Linked DNA regions of Macaca fascicularis. Each later gene encodes a partner of the first gene's protein in a complex. Links are inferred from orthologs where the notes say so. Each region holds a gene or a part of one and is shown in the gene's direction. Other genes may lie near its edges. The genes, in order: AGK, TIMM10, TIMM29, TIMM22 and TIMM10B.

Region 1 (4,179 bases):
GCGTGGAGCGACAGCGCTGCGCCAGCCTCGTGGCCCACACCTGCGGCTTGATGTGTTTCTTAAAGGGCCCTTCCCTCTTTCCCGCTGCAGCTGACCTCTCTTCAGCCTCCTCGCTCACCTTAGTTTCACCTTATCCACGTTCTTGCGCTCTCAGTGTTTGTCCCCTACAACCCCTTTCCTTCCTGTACTGACTTTCACCATTACCTTCTCTTCTTTCCTCTCATTTACATGTCTGTTTTTATCTTCACTGTTTAGCTGGGGTCTCACCCTTACCCCTGTCCCCATTAACCCAGCCTTTTCCCTCCTTTTCTTCTCAATGTTTTTGAACCCCTTTTCCTCAGCTAGCCATGAGTAACACTTGACAGCGGTAGAACCTGGCTTACTTCTGGAACTAGAAGGAGATCCTCGAAATAACTAAATTTAGGACACACTTCGCCGACATTAAACAGAGCACAGGTAATGTACTTAAACCTTTCCTGATGACTCAGGTGGACAGTGTTCAGGATGAACTGTGGTGGGAGGAACTTCATGGATTGACTACACTTTGAGGTCAGCATGGTTGGGTTCTCAAATTGCAGAATCAGCAGCTTTATCCTTTTGATTCACCAGGAGCAATCACACATTGTAGAGTCACACTATAACATTCGCAAGAGAACAAAGACAAAACTAGAGTGTCAGTGTATTGATTTATTTGGGGGGATAAACTGTTAGTGGTAGAGATGGGCAAGATGCTCACCAATCCTGTTTCTTCTGCCTGGGCACATAGGGAGACTATATTCCTCAGCTTCACTTGCAGTTAGGTGAAGCAATGTGATTGAGTTCTACCCAAGTGAATGTGGGCAGAAGTGATATATACCAGTTGTAGATATAGCTAAAAAATGTCTCAAATGCTGGAAGCAAAGGATTTTGCAATGGAGGAGAAACACAATAGAAGAATCCTGGATCCATGAGTCACCACATGGAAGAGAGCCACCAGGAGAGATGCCTGATTCACTCTGGATTATCATGTGGACAAGAAATAAAATGTTATTATGTTAAGACACTGAGCTTTAGAGATTGTTTATAAGTTAGCATCAGTATATTTTTACAGGGGAAAAATAACTTGTTTCCACTGTTCCAAATACCCATTTCCCATACCAAGGTAGATAAAAAACCTTGTTGTCAGAGGCTTGCTTGGTGAGCTTGAAATAGAACAAAGCCCTGAGAGTTAGTTTATTTAACTGCAATTCAACTTAAGCAAGAATGTTTGCTTTAGCGTAGAATACTGGAAAAAAGTTGATGATGCAAGTAAGGTGAGAGCGGCATTTAAATGGTCATTTTTGAAACGTGGGGTACCATCTAACTACCTGTTCATCTTTTGATTTAGGAGAAAAGAGGAGCATGAGAACCCAGAGGAAATTGTACCTATTCAGAAGTGTGGAGTGAGGATAGGAGTGCCCAGATTCAAAGGCATCATGAAGTGTCATGACAAGATAGAAAAGACTTTGAGCTGGCCAAGAAGGAATTGGACAAAATTATGAGTGAGGTAGGTGTTAGTTAAGTTCCAGGCACACATATGGTTTGCCATCTCGTCAACATCTCCATGTGAATGCCTAATCAGTGTTAACAGAAAAACTTTTGACAAATTAAATTTAACAGAGTTTATTTGAGCAAAGAATGATTCATGAGTTGGGCAGCACTCAGAACTAGAAGAGGTTTGGAGACTGCCCTGCAAAGTGGGTAGTGAGTACTTATAGACAGAAAATGGAAGTGAAGTACAGAAATAGCTTGATTGGTTACAGCTAGGTGTTTGCATTATTTGGACATGGTCTGATCAGTTGGCTGCCCATGATTAAAGCTTAGCTGCTTGTATTGGCTAAGATTGGGCTATCTGTTACAAAATATATACTCCTAAATTAGGTTTTCAGTTTGTTTACTTACTGAGTTAGCTTGCAGTTTGCTACATAGTGAGTCAAAGTAGAGAAACAGCCTCAGGCAAATGGCCTCCTGCTTATTTAATTTAATACAGGCCTTCCAAATCTAGCAAGTCCAAAACTTCCTCCCAAAGCCCCTCCCATCTCAATAAACATTTATTCTATTTTTCCAATTTCTTGGGCCAGAAAACATAAAGCTTGTCTTAACTCATCTCTTTTTCTCATGCTCCACGTTAAGTCCATTAGCAAATTCTGTATGCCTTACCTTCAAAATATGTCCAGAAATCAGCTACCTCTACCATCAGGCTGTGCCACTTTGTTCCAAGTGACAAACTTATCTTCCCTATGGTGGTGCAAAGGTCTCCTAATTGCCCTCCCTGCTTCCAGCCTTGCTTCCCTACTATCTATTTGCAGTCACAACATTTTTATTTTAAAATGGAAATCAGATTACATTAATCAAACTCTCCAAATGATTGCCATCTTACCAAAAATGAAATCCCAAGTTCTTATTGTGGTCTCCATGATCTGTGCTCCTGCTTCATGAGAAGAGGAACTTAGTCTGTTTTGTTCTGTTTTGTTTACTGCTGTGTTCCCAGCAAGAATGTTGTCTGGCACACATTAGGTATTTACTAAGTATTTATTGAATGATGGATGTAGAGATAGAGACTAGGAGGGAAAAAAAAAAAGGAAAGAATATTTGAGACCATAGTCACAAGCATACATGGCATGGATTTAATGACCTTTGGTGGTGATAGCTCAAATGCTACAACATGAGAATGTCACCACTGTATAAGGAAGATCTTGGAACACACTCAGTTTCCTATTTTTTATGAAAAATATGAGGCTTTCTCCAATGGAAATGAGGAAGACAGTTAATTCCACAAGCATCTTGGATTCTTGACTTTTTATCTAAAGTTTTTTTTTATTTTTATTTTTTGGAGACAGGGTCTTACTCTGTGGCCCAGGCTGAAGTGCAGTCGCGTGATCTCAGCTCACTGCAACCTCTGCCTCCTGGTTTCAAGCAATTCTCATGTCTCAGCCTCCTGAGTAGCTTGGACTACAGGCACACACCACCACACCTGGCTAATTTTTTGTATTTTTAGTAGAGACGGGGTTTCACCGTATTGGCCAGGCTGGTCTCAAACTCCTGACCTCGGGTGATCCACCAGCCTTGGCCTCCCAAAGTGCTGGGATTATAGGCATGAGTCACCATGCCTGGCCTTATAGAAAGTATTTTAAATCCTCATTTATAACATCATTCATAAATTCTTTTAATTTAGAAAGTTCTACTAAAAAGTGGAAGACATGTACCACTATGTAGCTTAATGTGCATATGTCAAGGGCATTGTATATTCAGATACTGTATTTCCTTTGATAGATGCAAACTTGCAGGTGGATTTTAATGAATAAGCATAACCAAAAATATGGAACATCGCTGTAAATCTGTTCTATTGGATTTGAGGAGTCCCCCTGAGCTCATTTCCTCATTGTCTCTTGTTTTCCTTGACACACCATCCCTGTGGGTAGTGATTCAGGTCTCACCTCTGCTTTATGTCATCCTTCAGGTTCTAGCTTAAATGTCTCTTCTCAGAGAAACCATCCTTGACCACCATCTAAAGTAGGCAGCCTCTACCTGGTAATTCTCCTTCATAGAGTCCTTTTGTTTTCCTTTGTGGCACTTATCAGTGATCTGTAATCACATATTGATCTCTTGCCATTTATTCATTGTTGCCTATCTTCCCAGAGTGTGAGCCCCTTGAGGTCAAGACCATGTCTATTTTTGCCATAATGGGATGCCTAGTGCTTGACTTAAGTGGATACTCCATAGAAGACACTGCATAGGTATTCAGTGGATACAAGAGTGAAACAGTGAATGAAGGAAGGTGGGCCTGGGCCAAGGAGCTGGGTGGCCAAGGTCAAGTTTAGACCATCAGCCCTACTCAGGACAAACGTCCTGACTCCTGCTTGGAGGCTTCCTCCCAGTCCTGCTCTGTGCTTCCCACAGCTGTTGATCATCTTACTGACAGGCAGACTCAGCCAAGAAAGTAGAAAGAGGAAAAGAAAAATGAGGCACAGGAGGGTAGAATGGAAAATCTCAGCTCTTTTAGCAGCCGCTCTTCCTTATTTCTTGCTAGAGTATTGGCATCTGTAAAAGCCTTGGCTGTCCTCCCCAACCTCCCCACTCAATCACAAACCGCAGCACCTAGAAAAAAATAAAGGCAAAAATCAATGTGCTAAATCTCAGTTGGGCTCAGTAGCAACTCCC
Region 2 (4,269 bases), on another chromosome or scaffold:
CAAACATCCATCAACAGGAGAATGGATAAATGAATTGTGGCATGCTCATACAATCAAACACTAGACAGCAATAAAACAGAAGGAATAACAGATGCACACAACAATATGGAGGAAACCTTACAGGTACATTGAGCTAAAGACGTCAGGCACAAAATAGAAAATAATGTGTAATTCCATTTACATGAAGTTCAAGAACAAGGAAAACGAATTGATGGTGATAGAGGTCAGAATAGTGGTTAACTTCAAGAGGGAGTATTGATGGGGAAGAAACACAAGATAACTTTTTGGGGTGCAGGAAGTATTTTATATCTTGATCTGGGTGGTGGTTATACAAATGTATATATACACATATATATTTAATTAAGCTTGAGATTCGTGTATTTTATGCACTTTATGAATATTATACCTCAATCTTTAAAAATCAGGGCACAAGGTTTGACAAAGATGAGTCTTCAAAGCAGAAAGGTCGATTGTTTAAAATCAGGATGGTCTTGGACAATTAGGGAAGCATATGATGACCACACATATAAAATGTCTAGCCCACCTTTTCCAATGAGCAATGTGCCCTTGCGTCATCAATTTACATCTTGTAAATTTATTTTACTAGGAAATTGTGTGACAAATCAAGGGACTGAGTGTTGTTTCCTTCTTTTTAGTGGGGAATGAGTGAATGGTGCAGTTTGAAGAACACATTAAGTCTTGAAAGTTGAAAAGTTCACCAGTACCCTCCTTCTCCCTCACCCATGATTAGCCTCGGTGGCAGCCGAAATTGCTTTTATTAATCTCTTTGTGGCTCAGGACCTCTGACTGTTGAAGAAAACATATTTTACACGTCTTGTCTTTCTACGAGCAGGAAGCCTATCTCGCTTATCGTTGCAACACCAGAAGGGGCTTAGTGTGACCTACACACAGTAGTAATCGCACAACGTCCCATGGAGCACTGCTTCTCAAATTTGGCTGTACATACGAATCACCTGGGGAATTTTAAATTGTATTGATGCCTGGGTCCTACTCCCAGAGATTCTGATTTAATTGAAATGAGGTGAGTCCTGGGCACTGGGACGTTTAAAAACGTTCCAGGGATTTTAACGCGAAACAAAAACAGAATCGCTGTTTGGGGGCGTTCTTCCTTCTCCACGCCTGATTTACGCTCAGGAGTCGGCTGTCCGGAACTGGGATGAGATTCACTGATATCTGTCACCACGCCTCTTCCTACAGAACCAATAAACTGAAGCGGCTCTGTGACATCCCAAGGGACTTGAATTGTAAGCGGGCTGCAGACGCTCTGCACCCCGCCCAAGCCTCTATGGTACTTTGGCGTCCCCTCTAGCACTGGCAAGTCGCCTTCCTCTTCGCCCGGCGCCGGCCGCTCCCTCTCTAGGATCGCCGAGTTCCCGGCGCCGTCTCGTTGGTATTTAGTTCCGGAAGCGAGTTTGAATCAAAGGAGAGGCGGGACTTCCCTCCCGGAAGTAACCCACGTGCTTCCGCTGGAGCCTTCTGGAGAGGCGGGTAACGTTATAGTTTTTGTCAGAAGTTGGGGTCTCCGTGAGCATTGCGATCCGTCCCAGGCAGTGGTGAGTGACCCATGACCTCTGAATTCAATGTGGCTCTGATTATGGCGTCGCCATTTCAGAGGCGCAGCCTTTAGGCTGCGTCCCGGTCGCCTGTGTTCAGCGTACGATCTCATTCCCAGGGCCCTGGAGGTTCAGGCTTATGGGTTAGAGCGTTCTGCCTCGGTCCTCGATCTTCTGAATAGAGGTGACCTCCAGGGACTGGGGCATCAGAGATCCGGGGCTCGATTTCCAGGCTCGCCATGGACGTCCTGTGCGACCTTGGGCGAGGCCTCAGTTTCCACATCCGTGAAATGGGGTGGTTAATCTTACTGAGGTTAGTGGCCCGTGGTGGTCTGGCGCCCTGTGAGTCCTCTGTATCCTCTAGCCCCAAGGGGTAGGAGAGTGAACGGCGGCGGTGGGTGCTGATGGTGATGTCTGCTCCCAGGATTAGGAGGCCAGAAGGAGATACCTTCCACGGTGCTAGGCTGAGATGGATCCTCTCAGGGCCCAACAGCTGGCTGCGGAGCTGGAGGTGGAGATGATGGCCGATATGTACAACAGGTAAAGAGAACTATGTTCTACCCTGTCTTGGAAAATAAGTCTTGGTCACCCATATCGAAGGTGAATGACTTACAACAAATTCCTTCCTGAATGTAGGGGAGCCTGAGGCCCATGCTTACCCTCCCCATACGCACCTCCAAGGTTGATCCTAATGTAGACGCAGTCACTAGAATGAGTTGGGCATTTAGATGGGGATGGAACTGGCAATGCAGGAGCCAAGCAGGAAGAGAAACTCCAATCCAGGCTCTGGTTAGGTTCCAAGAAAAGCTGAGTATTTGCCTCTTGATAAATAGCACATAGCCAGCCCATTTAGTAGTTAACATTTTAAAACCCTTTATTCTGTGTCAGGCTCTTGTTAATCTTCAAAATAATCCAGTGGGTTAATTTTATTAGTCCCATCTTAAAATGAGGAAATTGATGCTGCTAGAGGTTAAGTAACTTCCTTAGGGTCCGCAGCTGGTGGGTAACAATGCCAGAACTAGCACCTCAGTCTGGTTCTGCAACTAGTGCTCATAACCATTTGGCACATTTGGGAACAAATCCTGGCTCCACCAATCACCAGCAGTATACTTGGACATGTTACTTGCACTGTTTGACAATTGGTTTCCTCATTATGAAAAAGACATAATGATACCTACCTCATAGGGCATCATAAATATTAAATCTAAAAATATATGAAAGTCCTTAGCCTCAAGCCCAACACTTAGTAACAGTGAAATGTCTGCTATTTTTATTGGCTTAAGCTCTCTTGATTGGTTTATCCTGACGACTATAAATTAGAAAGATTGTTAAGTGTAGACTGTGAGGTCAGATGACCTGGGTTCATATCTCAGCTCTATGTGATTCTTAGAAAATTACTGAGCCTCGGCCGGGCGCGGTGGCTCAAGCCTGTAATCCCAGCACTTTGGGAGGCCGAGGCGGGTGGATCACGAGGTCAGGAGATCGAGACCATCCTGGCTAACACGGTGAAACCCCGTCTCTACTAAAAATACAAAAAGAAATTAGCTGGGCGTGGTGGCGGGCGCCTGTAGTCCCAGCTACTTGGGAGGCTGAGGCAGGAGAATGGCGTGAACCCGGGAGGCGGAGCTTGCAGTGAGCCGAGATCGCGCCACTGCACTCCAGTCTGGGCGACAGAGCGAGACTCCGTCTCAAAAAAAAAAAAAAAAAAAAAAATTACTGAGCCTCTGTTTGCCTTAATTTTCTCGTCTGTAAAATGGGGATAAGTATCTCTTGGGGTAATTGTAAGCATTGCGTAACAGAATGCAGGTAAAGCACTTAGCATGATGCCTGGCACATAGCCAGTCCTTAACAAATTGTTTCTACTTAATTAGTCATATACATGGGCTCAGGCAAGTTTCCTACTTGCAAGGACCTTCCAGTGGTTGAGGTGTAAACTGAGGATTTACACTGCTTTCTTGGGGAAGGTGACATCAATATAGCAGGGCTGGAATGGTCGAGGGTTCCTGGGATGTCACAGGATGCTGCTGACATGACCTTGCCCCTCCCTCCCTCCAGAATGACCAGTGCCTGCCACCGGAAGTGTGTACCTCCTCACTACAAGGAAGCAGAGCTCTCCAAGGGCGAGTCTGTGTGCCTGGACCGATGTGTCTCTAAGTACTTGGACATCCATGAGCGAATGGGCAAAAAGTTGACAGAGTTGTCTATGCAGGATGAAGAGCTGATGAAGAGGGTGCAGCAGAGCTCTGGGCCCGCGTGAGGTCCGTGTCAGCATACACCCTGGGGTACACCCCACCCCTTCCCACTTTAATAAAAGTGCTCCCTGTTGGGTGTCATCTGTGAGGACTGCCAGGCCTAAGCTCTCTGTAGCGAGTCTTCAAGATCCTGGAGTGGTAGCGCTGTCCCCTGGTGAAGGAGTATTTGTCACACTGGAATGTGACTGTGTGTATGTATGTATGTATGTATATATATATTAAAACAAGTTTGTTGACACCTACTATGTGCAAAGCAGTGTGCGTGGCATTTGAGAGTAAACAGACACAGCCCCTACCAGCAGAGGGAGACTAATGTAGTGTTTAAGAGTAGGACAGGCCAGGCACAGTGGCTCACGCCTGTAATCCCAGCACTTTGGGAGGCTGAAGTGGGTGGATCACTTGAGGTCAGGAGTTCAAGACCACCTGGCCAACATGGCAAAACC
Region 3 (3,063 bases), on another chromosome or scaffold:
CACAGTTCCTTCACCCGCACTCGCCATCACCAGCACCCTGCCCAGGGAAAGTGTGGCTGAACCCTGAGCATAACTCTGAGCCCCACCTCACCTGCCTCCCCAGGCCTGACCTGTGAGGTGTCCACGTCAAAGAAGCTCTGATAGTAGCTGAAGGTCCAGAATCCGGGCTGCTGCTGCTGCTTCTCCTGCAGGAGCTGCACATTGCGGGCATTCAGCGCCTGCCCCGACAGCGTGGATCAGCTGGGAGCTGCACAGAGGCAGGACACAGGGACTCACCGCGGCCTTGTCACTCTCCTCCTCCACCTCATCCTCGGCTCCATAGCTGCTACCTGAGCCCACGGCCACAGCCACGTGCCCTTGTGGGGTCAGCTGATCACTTCTGCTGGTTGTGGCTGCATCTGGGGTCTCAGCCAGAAGATTAGTGGCCTCCTCGAATTCTGTGGAGCAGGGACATGGGACACACGCACGCTTGAGGGGTGGAAAGAATTCGACTGGGCTCCAGCCAAGTCAATGCTCATCTGGGGGCGGAGGCTCTGCTAAGCCACTGATCTCCCCCAAGGTGGGGGGCCCAACTTCCTCAGTTTGGAGGCATCCGGAGGGCGTCTGTTCCCTTCCTCCTAAAGTGGAACTGCAACTTAGGGTTGGCCCTGGGATGGGGTCAGGGTCTGGAGACATGAGGCTCGGGTTTGAGGTCTGAGTTCAGGGCGGGGGCGGGGTTCGGGTCAGAGATGGGTCTCCCTCCTGGGTCAGGGTTCACAGCCGCCTAGGGGTAGAGAAGTTGGAAGCCGCATGGGGGGTAGGTTCTGGCAAGGGGCGGGAGTAGGAGATCCGGCCTCGTCGGGGCCGCACTCACCGTGGAAGGTCAGCTCGTCAGCCGATGCCATGGTCGTTCAGGGGCGTCTCCGCATCCCTCGCTGAGGACAGAGACCGGTCAGGCACGCTCCCCCCACGCCCCCACGCCGGTCCCTCGGCCCCCAGCCCTACCTGGCGGCCAGCTGCACCCACGGAAGCTTGAACTCGTCGCCCCGTCGCCACAGGTGCGCTCCGCCCTCCTCACCGGAGGCCACCTGGGCCGGCGTGGCTGGGGCTCTCTGCGACTGCGCAGCTGGCCTACCCGTCAGAATCTACCCGACTCGGACCGGACAGCAACATCCGGCGCCGGTCCTCTTTCTATCCTTTCCCGCTGGGAAGCCACTTCCGGTAAAGTTGGCGCTTGCGCAGAAGCGCCTCCCGGGCTTTTAACTTCGGGTATCAAGAGTTTCTTTTCGGAGCAAGGACCCCCAAGACGGAAAAGGATGGCCGCCGCGGCTCTGAGGAGATTTTGGTCCCGGCGCCGCGCAGAGGCGGGCGACGCTGCAGCGGCGAAGCCGGGAGTGTGGGCGCGGCTGGGTGAGTAGCGGCGGAAGGCGGCAGGGTGAGTGGCCGCCGCTGCCAGATCACTCTTACCGCGCTCCTCTCCCCTCAGGGTCCTGGGCCCGCGCGCTGCTCCGGGACTACGCCGAGGCCTGCAGGGACGCGGCGGCGGAGGCTAGTGCCCGGCCGGGGCGCGCGGCCGTGTATGTGGGGCTGCTGGGCGGCGCGGCGGCCTGCTTCACGCTGGCGCCTAGCGAGAGTGCTTTCGAGGAGGCGCTGCTGGAGGCGTCGGGGACCCTCCTGCTGCTGGCGCCGGCCACCCGCAACCGCGAGTCCGAAGCCTTCGTGCAGCGGCTGCTCTGGCTGCGGGGCCGTGGCCGCCTGCGCCACGTCAACCTAGGGCTCTGCTCCCTGGTGTACGAGGCGCCCTTCGACGCCCAGGCCAGCCTCTACCAGGCGCGCTGCCGCTACCTGCAGCCCCGCTGGACCGACTTCCCCGGCCGGGTCCTGGACGTGGGCTTCGTGGGTCGCTGGTGGGTGCTGGGGGCCCGGATGCGCGACTGCGACATCAACGACGACGAATTCCTGCACCTGCCGGCGCATTTGCGGGTGGTCGGGCCCCAGCAGCTGCATTCCGAGACCAACGAGCGGCTCTTCGATGAGAAGTACAAGCCTGTCGTGCTCACCGACGATCAGGTGGACCAGGCGCTGTGGGAGGAGCAGGTCTTGCAGAAGGAAAAAAAGGACAGGCTCGCCCTGAGCCAGGCCCACTCGCTGGTGCAGGCGGAGGCCCCGAGATGAAACCCGGAGGCCCCCGAGTCCTGGCAAACTGCTTGCCTGGGGTAGTGCAGCTGTGAGTGTGCCTCACCTGCAGAACAACTGAGACAGATGATGTGCAAAGTGTTTTCTCACTGGATTTGCGCAAGTTTGGGGAGCCTTTCTGCCCCCCGTCTTTGTTCTTTATAAGCTGAAGCTAATTCCGAGCCACCTTGGTCCAGGAGTTGGGACAGCAGAACGACTTGACACATGTTCATCACTGGCAGAGCTGGTCATGAGCCTTTTATATAAGCCTTTTTCATTGGGCCTCAGAGGCCCTCCTTAAGGAGGTACCACAGTGGTCAGGTGACTTGCAAACTCTTCTAAGACCACTTAGATTCTCTTTTTAAAGTTTGGGTTGTGGCCTGGCGTGGTGAGGCACGTCTGTAATCCCAGCATTTTCCAAATTGAGGCAACAGGATCGCTTGAGGCCAGCCCGAGTAACATAGCAAGACTCCGACGCTACAAAAAAAGAATAATAATTAACTAAATAAAATTTGAGCTGAAATGTTTTTATTCTGTGATCTGTTCTCTTTCGTTTTGTTTTGTTTTCCTTTTTTTGTTTTTGTTTTTTGTTTTGTTTTGTTTTGTTTTGTTTTTTTTTTTTTTTTTTTTTTTTTTTTTTTTTTTTGAGACGGAGTCTCACGCTGTTGCCCAGGCTGGAGTGCAGTGGCGCCATCTCGGCTCACTGCAAGCTCCGCCTCCTGGGTTCACGCCATTCTCCTGCCTCAGCCTCCTGAGTAGCTAGGACTACAGGCGCCCGCCACCGCGCCCGGCTAATTTTTTTGTATTTTTAGTAGAGACGGGGTTTCACTGTGGTCTCGATCTCCTGACCTTGTGATCCGCCCGCCTCGGCCTCCCAAAGTGCTGGGATTACAGGCTGTCTCGCTCTGT
Region 4 (4,059 bases), on another chromosome or scaffold:
AGCACAGTTGTTATTAAAAATTACATTTTATACATTTATAATCAAATTACACTAAAAACAGGTAATGTGTGCTCAAAACTCACCACCTCCTAAAAGTTTTACTACACCGTACTCCTATCTATGCTGTTGAGGTTATTTCCATAGATTGTATCTGTGTGATAGAAACATTGTCTAACCACATACTGCTGTGAGTCTTCCCAATTCTGACTGATGACCTCGCTTGGTAGTTTGAAATCAGCCACTATGGGGATATTGACACCACTCAAGTCAGCAAATGCTATAAGTTAGGATTTTTTTTTTTTTTTTTTTTTTTTAGACCGAGTCTTGCTCTTGTCGCCCAGGCTGGAGCAGGACGGCGCGATCTTGGCTCACTGCAACCTCCACCTCCCGGGTTTAAGTGATTCTCCTGTCTCAGCCTCCCAAGTAACTGAGATTACAGGCGCCTGCCACCATCTGGCTAATTTTTGTATTTTTAGTAGAGATGGGGTCTCCTGCCTCAGCCTCTCAAGTAGCTGGGAATACAGGCGTGCACCACCATGCCCAGCTAATTTTTTTTTTTTTTTTTTTTGTATTTTTAGTAGAGATGGGGTTTCACCATGTTGGTCAGGCTGGTCTCGAACTCCTGACCTCATGATCCACCGCTCTCGGCTCCCAAAGTGCTGGAAGACAGGCGTGAGCCCCCGCGCCCGGTCCAAGCATTTCCAGCACACGTTCACGCGTGTCTACAAAGCGTCCAGCCCTCACCGCACCTTCCGGGACCACAGGATTTAACGCCTCCTCGCCCGATGACAGCAGGAGGCGGAAAGGGCAGCGAGAATGCTCGCGCGCCCCCTCCCGGCGATCCGGAGCACGGCAGCCCCGGAGCGCGCGGCCGCTCCTCGCTCCCCTCAGCAGCGCGTAGGAGCCCCGCGCGGGGCCGAGACGCGAGAGCACGCGCAACGCTTCCTGGGAAATGTAGTTGGATGTCGGATTGGAACTACAAATCTCTGTACTCACCGCGCTGCAGCCCCGACCGTGTGGGCGCTTTCTGGTGAATCTGAATCTCGTTTGTCTGTGACATGGGGAAAGCTGTTCAAGCCCAATTCCATTTTCACAAGAGGCTTTCTTTTTGGAAACACGATAGCGCTGTCGCTGATGCGCGCACGACGTCTCTTGCGGCCGCGGCTTCCTCTTGCTGCGAATCTGCCGTTACAGACGGTGGCTAGTGTCAGGGCTCGCAGCGTGACGCTTGTCGAATCTGCTGCGGGGGGAAGGACGCGAGGGTTGCTTGGGCAGCGACTGTCATGGCGGCGGCCGCCTCCAATGCCGGGGCTTCGGCCCCTGAGGCAGCGGGTTCCGCCGAAGCTCCGCTGCAGTACAGCCTTCTCCTGCAGTACCTGGTGGGTGACAAGCGTCAGCCCCGACTCCTGGAGCCTGGGAGCCTGGGCGGGATCCCAAGTCCAGCCAAGAGTGAGGAGCAGAAGATGATCGAGAAGGTGATGGAAAGCTGTGCCTTCAAGGCTGCGCTGGCCTGCGTGGGAGGTGAGGCCGGGCGAGTGGGATGCTTGGGAGGCTGAGGGCCTGGACGGCAGTGGGGATCTCTGCAGAGAAGACCACGCGCCTGGGAGGCGAGGGACTGCGGGCCTTGACCTTGACCACACCCCCACCTCGTTCCGTGAACGTCACCTCTCCTGCCCCCTCAGCTCAGCTTTCTTGATGAAAATTGCATCAGAAAATTGCTGTGGTTGGGGCCTAAAAGTTATTACATGACATCCTGGCTCACACGGTGAAACCCTGTTTCTACTAGAAATATAAAAAATTAGCCGGGCATGGTGGTGGGCGCCTGTATTCCCAGCTATTCGGAGGCTGAGGCAGGAGAATCGCTTGAGCCCAGGAGGCGGAGGTTGCAGTGAGCCGAGATCGCGCCACTGCACTCCAGCGTGGGCGACAGAGCGAGACTCCATCTCGAAAAGAAAAAAGTGATTACATGGGTGACTTCATTCATCCGTTCATTCCCTTGAATTCGCTCATTCTCTTAAATCCTTCAACAAATCGTTCCTAAGCAACTATCACGTGCCAGGAGAGAGACAAGAGCCTGGTCTTCACGGGGCCGTATTATACTATGTGGAGAAGAATGTCGAGCAGGAACTCTGCAGAGGAATGATGCAGACATATGGAAATGCACATGCAGACGGCGCTAGGGCAGCGGTTGCTTGAGGTTTGGAAAACTGAAAGACCACTGTGACTAGACAGCAGCGAGCAAGGAGACACGAAGTCTGCACTTGTCCTTCTACGTTTCCCTTAAGCTTTTTGGAGATTTGAGAATGTACGGTATTCCTTCTGTGTGCAGGGTAAATAGGTTGGCTACATTTGCAGATGAGTTTAAGTCTCACTGAGAATGAAAGACATTTAAGAAATGAATGTAGTGAGAATGTCAATGAAAACAAGTGAAGTAGGAATAAAGGTCTTTTTTTGTTGTTGAGTAAGACCATAGGTGAGACTGGAGCTGCGTCTTGAAGGATTGAGAAAATACAGGTAGGCAGAGTGGGTGCGGTGGCTCATTCCTGTATAATCCCAGCTCTTTGGGAGGCTGAGGCAGGTGGATCGCTTGATCCCAGGAGTTCAAGACCAGCCTGGCCAATATAGCGAAACCCCATCTCTACGAAAAATACAAAAATTAGCTGGTATGCACCTGAGAGCCCAGCTACTCGGGAGCCTGAGGCAGGAGGATCTCTTGAGCCCAGATGGTTGAGGCTGCAGTGAGCTGTGATTGAGTTACCGCACTCCAGCCTGGGTGACAGAGCAAGATCCTGTCTCAAAAAAAAAAAAAAAAAAAAAAAAAAAAAAAAAGGACTGGGCACATGGCTCATGCCTGTAATCCCAACACTTTGGGAGGCCAAGGCAGGCGGATCACGAGGTCAAGAGGTCAAGACCATCCTAGCCAACATGGTGAAACCCCGTCTCTACTAAAAATACAAAAATTAGCTGGGCATGGTGGTGTGTGCCTGTAATCCCAGCTACTCGGGAGGCTGAGGCAGAAGAATGGCTTGAAACCAGGAGGTGGAGGTTGCAGTGAGCCAAGATCACGCCATTGCACTCCAGCCTGGCAACAGAGACTCCATCTCAAAAAAAAAGGAAGAAAATACACTTAGGCAAAGGAGAAATGTTATTTCAAGTTTGGGGTTGAGTCGGGGGGAGATTTGGGCGTTTCGCTTACAGGCATTAGGGCAGTAGTTGATGTTTTTTACAAAGAGTAACAAGAGGTAATGAACATGGTGAATTACGATAGAGTCTGGTGAAGGAAAGAAAAATCTGTAGATGAGAAGGCCAGAGAGGAAGTTTGCGAGACTGAAGCTTCATGAGGGCATGGACTGGGTGTTTGCTCCTCACTCCGCCTGACCCTAATAAATCACTGATAGAGTTGTTGAAAGGATGAATGGGGTCTTCATAGTGCTCCACAGTTGAAGTGATGAAGGCCCCGGACTGGGGTGGTAATTGTGGACGTAGGCAGGGATGGACTTGACTTGCAAAAGTAGGATGAAAGATTTTGCCATGTTTCATGACTGACTGGTTATAGGAGGAAGTAAAGAAGCCGTCAGAGGTGCTCCTAGTGTTTGGAGATGGCATGACTGGAAGGAAGGAGCTGTAGGCAGGAAAGTCTGGAGGGGAGGTGCCCATGATTGTATTGAACTCATATTGACCATGAAGCCATGAGAGGGCATCCACATGGACAGGTCCAGCAGGCTCAGGAAGGTCAGATGTGGAAAACAGTGTGGGATTTGCCATTAGGTAGCTGTGTGGCCTTGGGAGAAGTTGCTTAACCTCTCTGAGCCTCAGTTTATCTATAGAAAGGAGAGGCTAATAGCATCTGTCTCACTGGATTATTGTGAAGAATGAATGAGGCTGTGGCATATCTGGCATGTGGTGCTCAGTAAAGCATTACTGTGAATGTCACAGTGGCCAAGAGAGTGATTTGCAAAGTGGATAGCTGAACTTGAGGGTGACTACTTTACATATGAGAGTGTAGAGAGAATAAGAGGGTTAAAGATGGAATCTTGAGAAATGTTAGGGAAGGGAAGA
Region 5 (3,283 bases), on another chromosome or scaffold:
TCCTAAATTGAAACAATTAGAAGAATCAAACAGAAGCACCTGCTCCAGCCCATCATCTTCAGGAAGCTGCCTGGCTTCACCGTTCCCGTGGATAGGGATCTCCATTGTGGCTGCCTTCCCTAGGATCCCGTCCGTCATGGCTAGGAAAGGTATTGGAGTAAAACTCTCCACCCCAGCACCCTGCAAAGCCCAACACAGAAGTTCTGGGCACTGGCCAGCACTCTAGAAGAAGGAAGCCTCCTCTGTCATTTCTTTAAAGGCTGTCCCAGGGTTTGAGTGTCCCAGCGTTTGGTCATCATTCCTTTCTTCAGGTATATGTATTTCTCCCCTCCAAAATGCACATTTGTACACAGGCACACCAAAGCACGGTGTCTTCTCACAAGCCCCCAACCTCACCAGGCCTCTGGTGATTATTCTACACTCATTCAGTCATTCAGCAGACATTTAGTGAGTGCCTACTCTGTGTCAGGTACTATTTGTGACAATGAAAATACAACAGTGAAGAGGGAAAGTAGCTCTCTTAGAACTTATCTCCATGCAGGCGTGTTTATGCTGAGCAGGAGATGGACCCTTTCCAGGGCTCAGGTCTTCACCCCCCATTCAGGTTTGTTCTCCATTGCTTGGCCTTTCTCACTCCTTTAGTGTTTCTTCCCCCTTCCTTCAGGGGGTCTCCCCTCCTCCGTCTCATACAACTCCTCTTCCTTGGGCCCTCCCCACCAGGCCTTAGTTAGATCAGTTGGTGTATGTTCCCAGTCTCTGGCAAAAGCCTGTCTTTACCAGGATATCGGTGATCCCTTCCACAGTCAGTCTCCCAGGTATGTGAGTCCCCGCCCCCACCCCCATACACCTGGACATCAGGTGTGTCCTCATTCTTCCCCAGGGCTCGGGGCATCTTGCCCTCTGGACAGGTTTGTGCGTTCAACTTCCCGTCGCCCAAGCATGTCCCTCTCACCTCGGGCCGGGCCGCTCTTCCCCTCAGGGCGCCAGGCCCGGGCCGCGCGGGGACCTCGGGCTCCAGTTCCCGTCGCGATCCTAGCAGCAGGTCAGGGACTCGGCGGAAGTGACGTCCTCTCCGGGCAGAAGAAGCCGGCCACGTCGCAGATTATAAGGGCGGAAGTGACGTCGAAGCCGGGGCAGGGCGATACTCTAGCTTGGTTCTCGAGAGCAGCGAGAGGTTACTTCCGGGGCGGCACCGAGAAGCTGAAAAGGAAGTGGCGTAGAGCATGCGCCGGTGGCGTGATGGAGCAGCAGCAGCAGCAACAGCAACTGAGAAACGTGAGTGAGAACTAAGTCGTTTCGGGGCCAGACGTTCAGCTCGCATTCCTGCACACATCGCGGAAACCCCATAGAGCCAGGGATCTGAGGGCTGGAAACTTCGGGTTATGGTGCGCGGGCCTGGGAAACTTTGGGCGGCGCGACCTTGAGTAGAAGTGTGGGGCACATATCGCTGAGTTCGTGGTCCCGGTTTTCTCCCAGCTGCGTGACTTCCTGTTGGTCTACAATCGGATGACAGAACTCTGCTTCCAGCGTTGTGTGCCCAGCTTGCACCACCGAGCTCTGGACGCTGAGGAGGTGGGGAACTGTGTAAGGAGGTTACGCTGCAAACAGAGTTTAGCGGTAGACTGCTTCCCTCCTCACCCCACTTCCCCTACCTCTGGTCCTGGCCTTCCCAGACCCTCACCCCTAGGCTGTGCATGGGGAAGGACGGAGGCGGGCCCGACAGGACACCTTTGTCCTCCGCTTAAACCCTATCTTCCTTCTAGGAGGCCTGTCTGCACAGCTGTGCTGGGAAGCTGATCCATTCCAACCACCGCCTCATGGCCGCTTACGTGCAGCTCATGCCTGCCCTGGTACAGCGCCGCATCGCAGACTACGAGGCTGTCTCGGCTGTGCCAGGCGTTGCTGCTGAGCAGCCTGGGGTCTCTCCATCAGGCAGCTAGCCATCTCCAACCCCAGGAGGGAAGGCCCTGGATGGACCCTCAGATTGAAGGACCCAGTGGACCTTAGGGTTGGTGAATCCTAAACGGAGAGAATTCGAGGTCGCCTGAAAACTGGCTGTCCTTGCTCCTTTTCCTGGAGCCAATATACTCGCTTTTTACTCTGTTTGATTTATATTCTGGGCAAGGAAGCTTTGCATAGTTTATTGGCATAATCCTTTGTTCTGTCATTTAGCCATATCTGCTGGCTTCAGCCCTGGCAGCTGATAAGTTGTCTTCTATATGTAGAAGGAAAACCTGAGTATTTGCAGGCATCTGGTTAAAGCAGGGTCTGTGTGTACAATTTTAAAATGAGTAATATGTCAGGCTTTATCTTAGTTTACAACAAAACTACAAGTAAGCGGTATTAGCCTCACTAAATAGATGAGGAAGCAAGATTCCAGAATGTACCAGAAGGCCATTTGATACAAAAGGAGATTGGTTCCTGCCCAGATGACAGAAAATGGGAGCTCTGTCTAGTTGTCCTTAAGTCTGACTGACTTCAATGGCTTATAACCGTGAACCAAGTATTTGTTGGTTCATAACTGTTGTTTTGTGAACTATGTCTTATATGTCTAGAATTCTGCTGGATCTAGGGAAAGGAGAAGCTGTCGAAGTACAACGGATCAAAAAACCACAGGGCTTTTGGGCACTGCCTCCTTGAGAAGTTAGTGGCCACAGAAGAGAGATGAAACCTGTAAGAAGTCTGGAGTCTTGGAACTTCAGCCATTTCCCCAGGTTGTTACTTTCTTAGTTTGTACAGTCTTCTCAGGATGAGAAGTAAAACCTTTGAACCAAGGTCTGTGTGCTTGTCTTACGGGCAATCGGGAAGGGAGAAAGTTGGGGACCGTATTCTGCAATACAGCGAAATCTGAGGAAGAAAAACTGAAGGGGGAAGTAGATGGCAATGGTTATGATAAAAAGGATAAAACGAAATCTTCGGGACTTCCTTAATGCTACCTTAATGTTTCACTGCTTGTCTAGAATCTCCTAATTCCAGCTTTCCATCATCTGCCCCACATTGGTCTCATTGAGTACAATCCGTGATTTCTTTTTTTTTTTTTTTTTTTTTTTTTTTTTGAGACGGAGTCTCACTCTGTCGCCCAGGCTGGAGTGCAGTGGCCGGATCTCAGCTCACTGCAAGCTCCGCCTCCCGGGTTCCCGCCATTCTCCTGCCTCAGCCTCCCGAGTAGCTGGGACTACAGGCACCCGCCACCTCGCCCAGCTAGTTTTTTGTATTTTTTAGTAGAGACGGGGGTTTCACCGTGTTAGCCAGGACGGTCTCGATCTCCTGACCTCGAGATCCG

What was found.
Region 2: the proteins of AGK (region 1) and TIMM10 are in contact, whole or in part, in a cryo-EM structure (PDB 7CGP), measured with the Homo sapiens proteins. The link is inferred for Macaca fascicularis from reciprocal best matches to the Homo sapiens genes AGK and TIMM10. Residues at the interface, in NP_060708.1 of Homo sapiens: Phe49, Gly50, Asn51, Gln52, Leu53, Ile54, Pro55, Pro56, Val60, Ser91, Gly92, Met93, Asp94, Val95; in NP_036588.1 of Homo sapiens: Glu40, Glu42, Leu43, Ser44, Lys45, Gly46, Ser48, Arg53.
Region 3: the proteins of AGK (region 1) and TIMM29 are in contact, whole or in part, in a cryo-EM structure (PDB 7CGP), measured with the Homo sapiens proteins. The link is inferred for Macaca fascicularis from reciprocal best matches to the Homo sapiens genes AGK and TIMM29. Residues at the interface, in NP_060708.1 of Homo sapiens: His33, Asn36, Arg39, Arg40, Cys43, Gln44, Gln47, Asn51, Lys82, Pro86, His89, Leu90; in NP_612367.1 of Homo sapiens: Tyr145, Gln146, Cys149, Arg150, Tyr151, Leu152, Gln153, Arg155.
Region 4: AGK (region 1) and TIMM22 share a complex: the UniProt entries of both Homo sapiens proteins name them as parts of the TIM22 complex. The link is inferred for Macaca fascicularis from reciprocal best matches to the Homo sapiens genes AGK and TIMM22.
Region 5: AGK (region 1) and TIMM10B share a complex: the UniProt entries of both Homo sapiens proteins name them as parts of the TIM22 complex. The link is inferred for Macaca fascicularis from reciprocal best matches to the Homo sapiens genes AGK and TIMM10B.

What each region holds. Positions count from the first base shown.
Region 1 is NC_088377.1:183,172,957-183,177,135, forward strand, and holds the start of AGK (acylglycerol kinase, mitochondrial), read left to right. Parts: upstream 1-1,366; 5' UTR 1,367-1,525; intron 1,526-4,179. UniProt on the Homo sapiens protein: Lipid kinase that can phosphorylate both monoacylglycerol and diacylglycerol to form lysophosphatidic acid (LPA) and phosphatidic acid (PA), respectively. Does not phosphorylate sphingosine. Phosphorylates ceramide.
Region 2 is NC_088388.1:16,082,134-16,086,402, forward strand, and holds TIMM10 (mitochondrial import inner membrane translocase subunit Tim10), read left to right. Parts: upstream 1-1,465; 5' UTR 1,466-1,574; intron 1,575-1,938; 5' UTR 1,939-2,043; coding exon 2,044-2,114; intron 2,115-3,629; coding exon 3,630-3,831; 3' UTR 3,832-4,068; downstream 4,069-4,269.
Region 3 is NC_088393.1:11,494,712-11,497,774, forward strand, and holds TIMM29 (mitochondrial import inner membrane translocase subunit Tim29), read left to right. Parts: upstream 1-1,267; 5' UTR 1,268-1,295; coding exon 1,296-1,389; intron 1,390-1,465; coding exon 1,466-2,154; 3' UTR 2,155-2,561; downstream 2,562-3,063. Other genes in the region: protein YIPF2, read right to left, coding at 111-194, 277-437, 854-884. UniProt on the Homo sapiens protein: Component of the TIM22 complex, a complex that mediates the import and insertion of multi-pass transmembrane proteins into the mitochondrial inner membrane.
Region 4 is NC_088390.1:1,103,389-1,107,447, forward strand, and holds the start of TIMM22 (mitochondrial import inner membrane translocase subunit Tim22), read left to right. Parts: upstream 1-1,258; 5' UTR 1,259-1,283; coding exon 1,284-1,521; intron 1,522-4,059. UniProt on the Homo sapiens protein: Essential core component of the TIM22 complex, a complex that mediates the import and insertion of multi-pass transmembrane proteins into the mitochondrial inner membrane. In the TIM22 complex, it constitutes the voltage-activated and signal-gated channel.
Region 5 is NC_088388.1:59,598,634-59,601,916, reverse strand, and holds TIMM10B (mitochondrial import inner membrane translocase subunit Tim10 B), read left to right. Parts: upstream 1-1,218; 5' UTR 1,219-1,239; coding exon 1,240-1,275; exon of another isoform or gene 1,276-1,382; coding exon of another isoform or gene 1,383-1,385; intron 1,386-1,476; coding exon 1,477-1,572; coding exon of another isoform or gene 1,573-1,584; intron 1,585-1,763; coding exon 1,764-1,940; 3' UTR 1,941-2,774; downstream 2,775-3,283. Other genes in the region: ARFIP2 (arfaptin-2), read right to left, coding at 40-138. UniProt on the Homo sapiens protein: Component of the TIM22 complex, a complex that mediates the import and insertion of multi-pass transmembrane proteins into the mitochondrial inner membrane.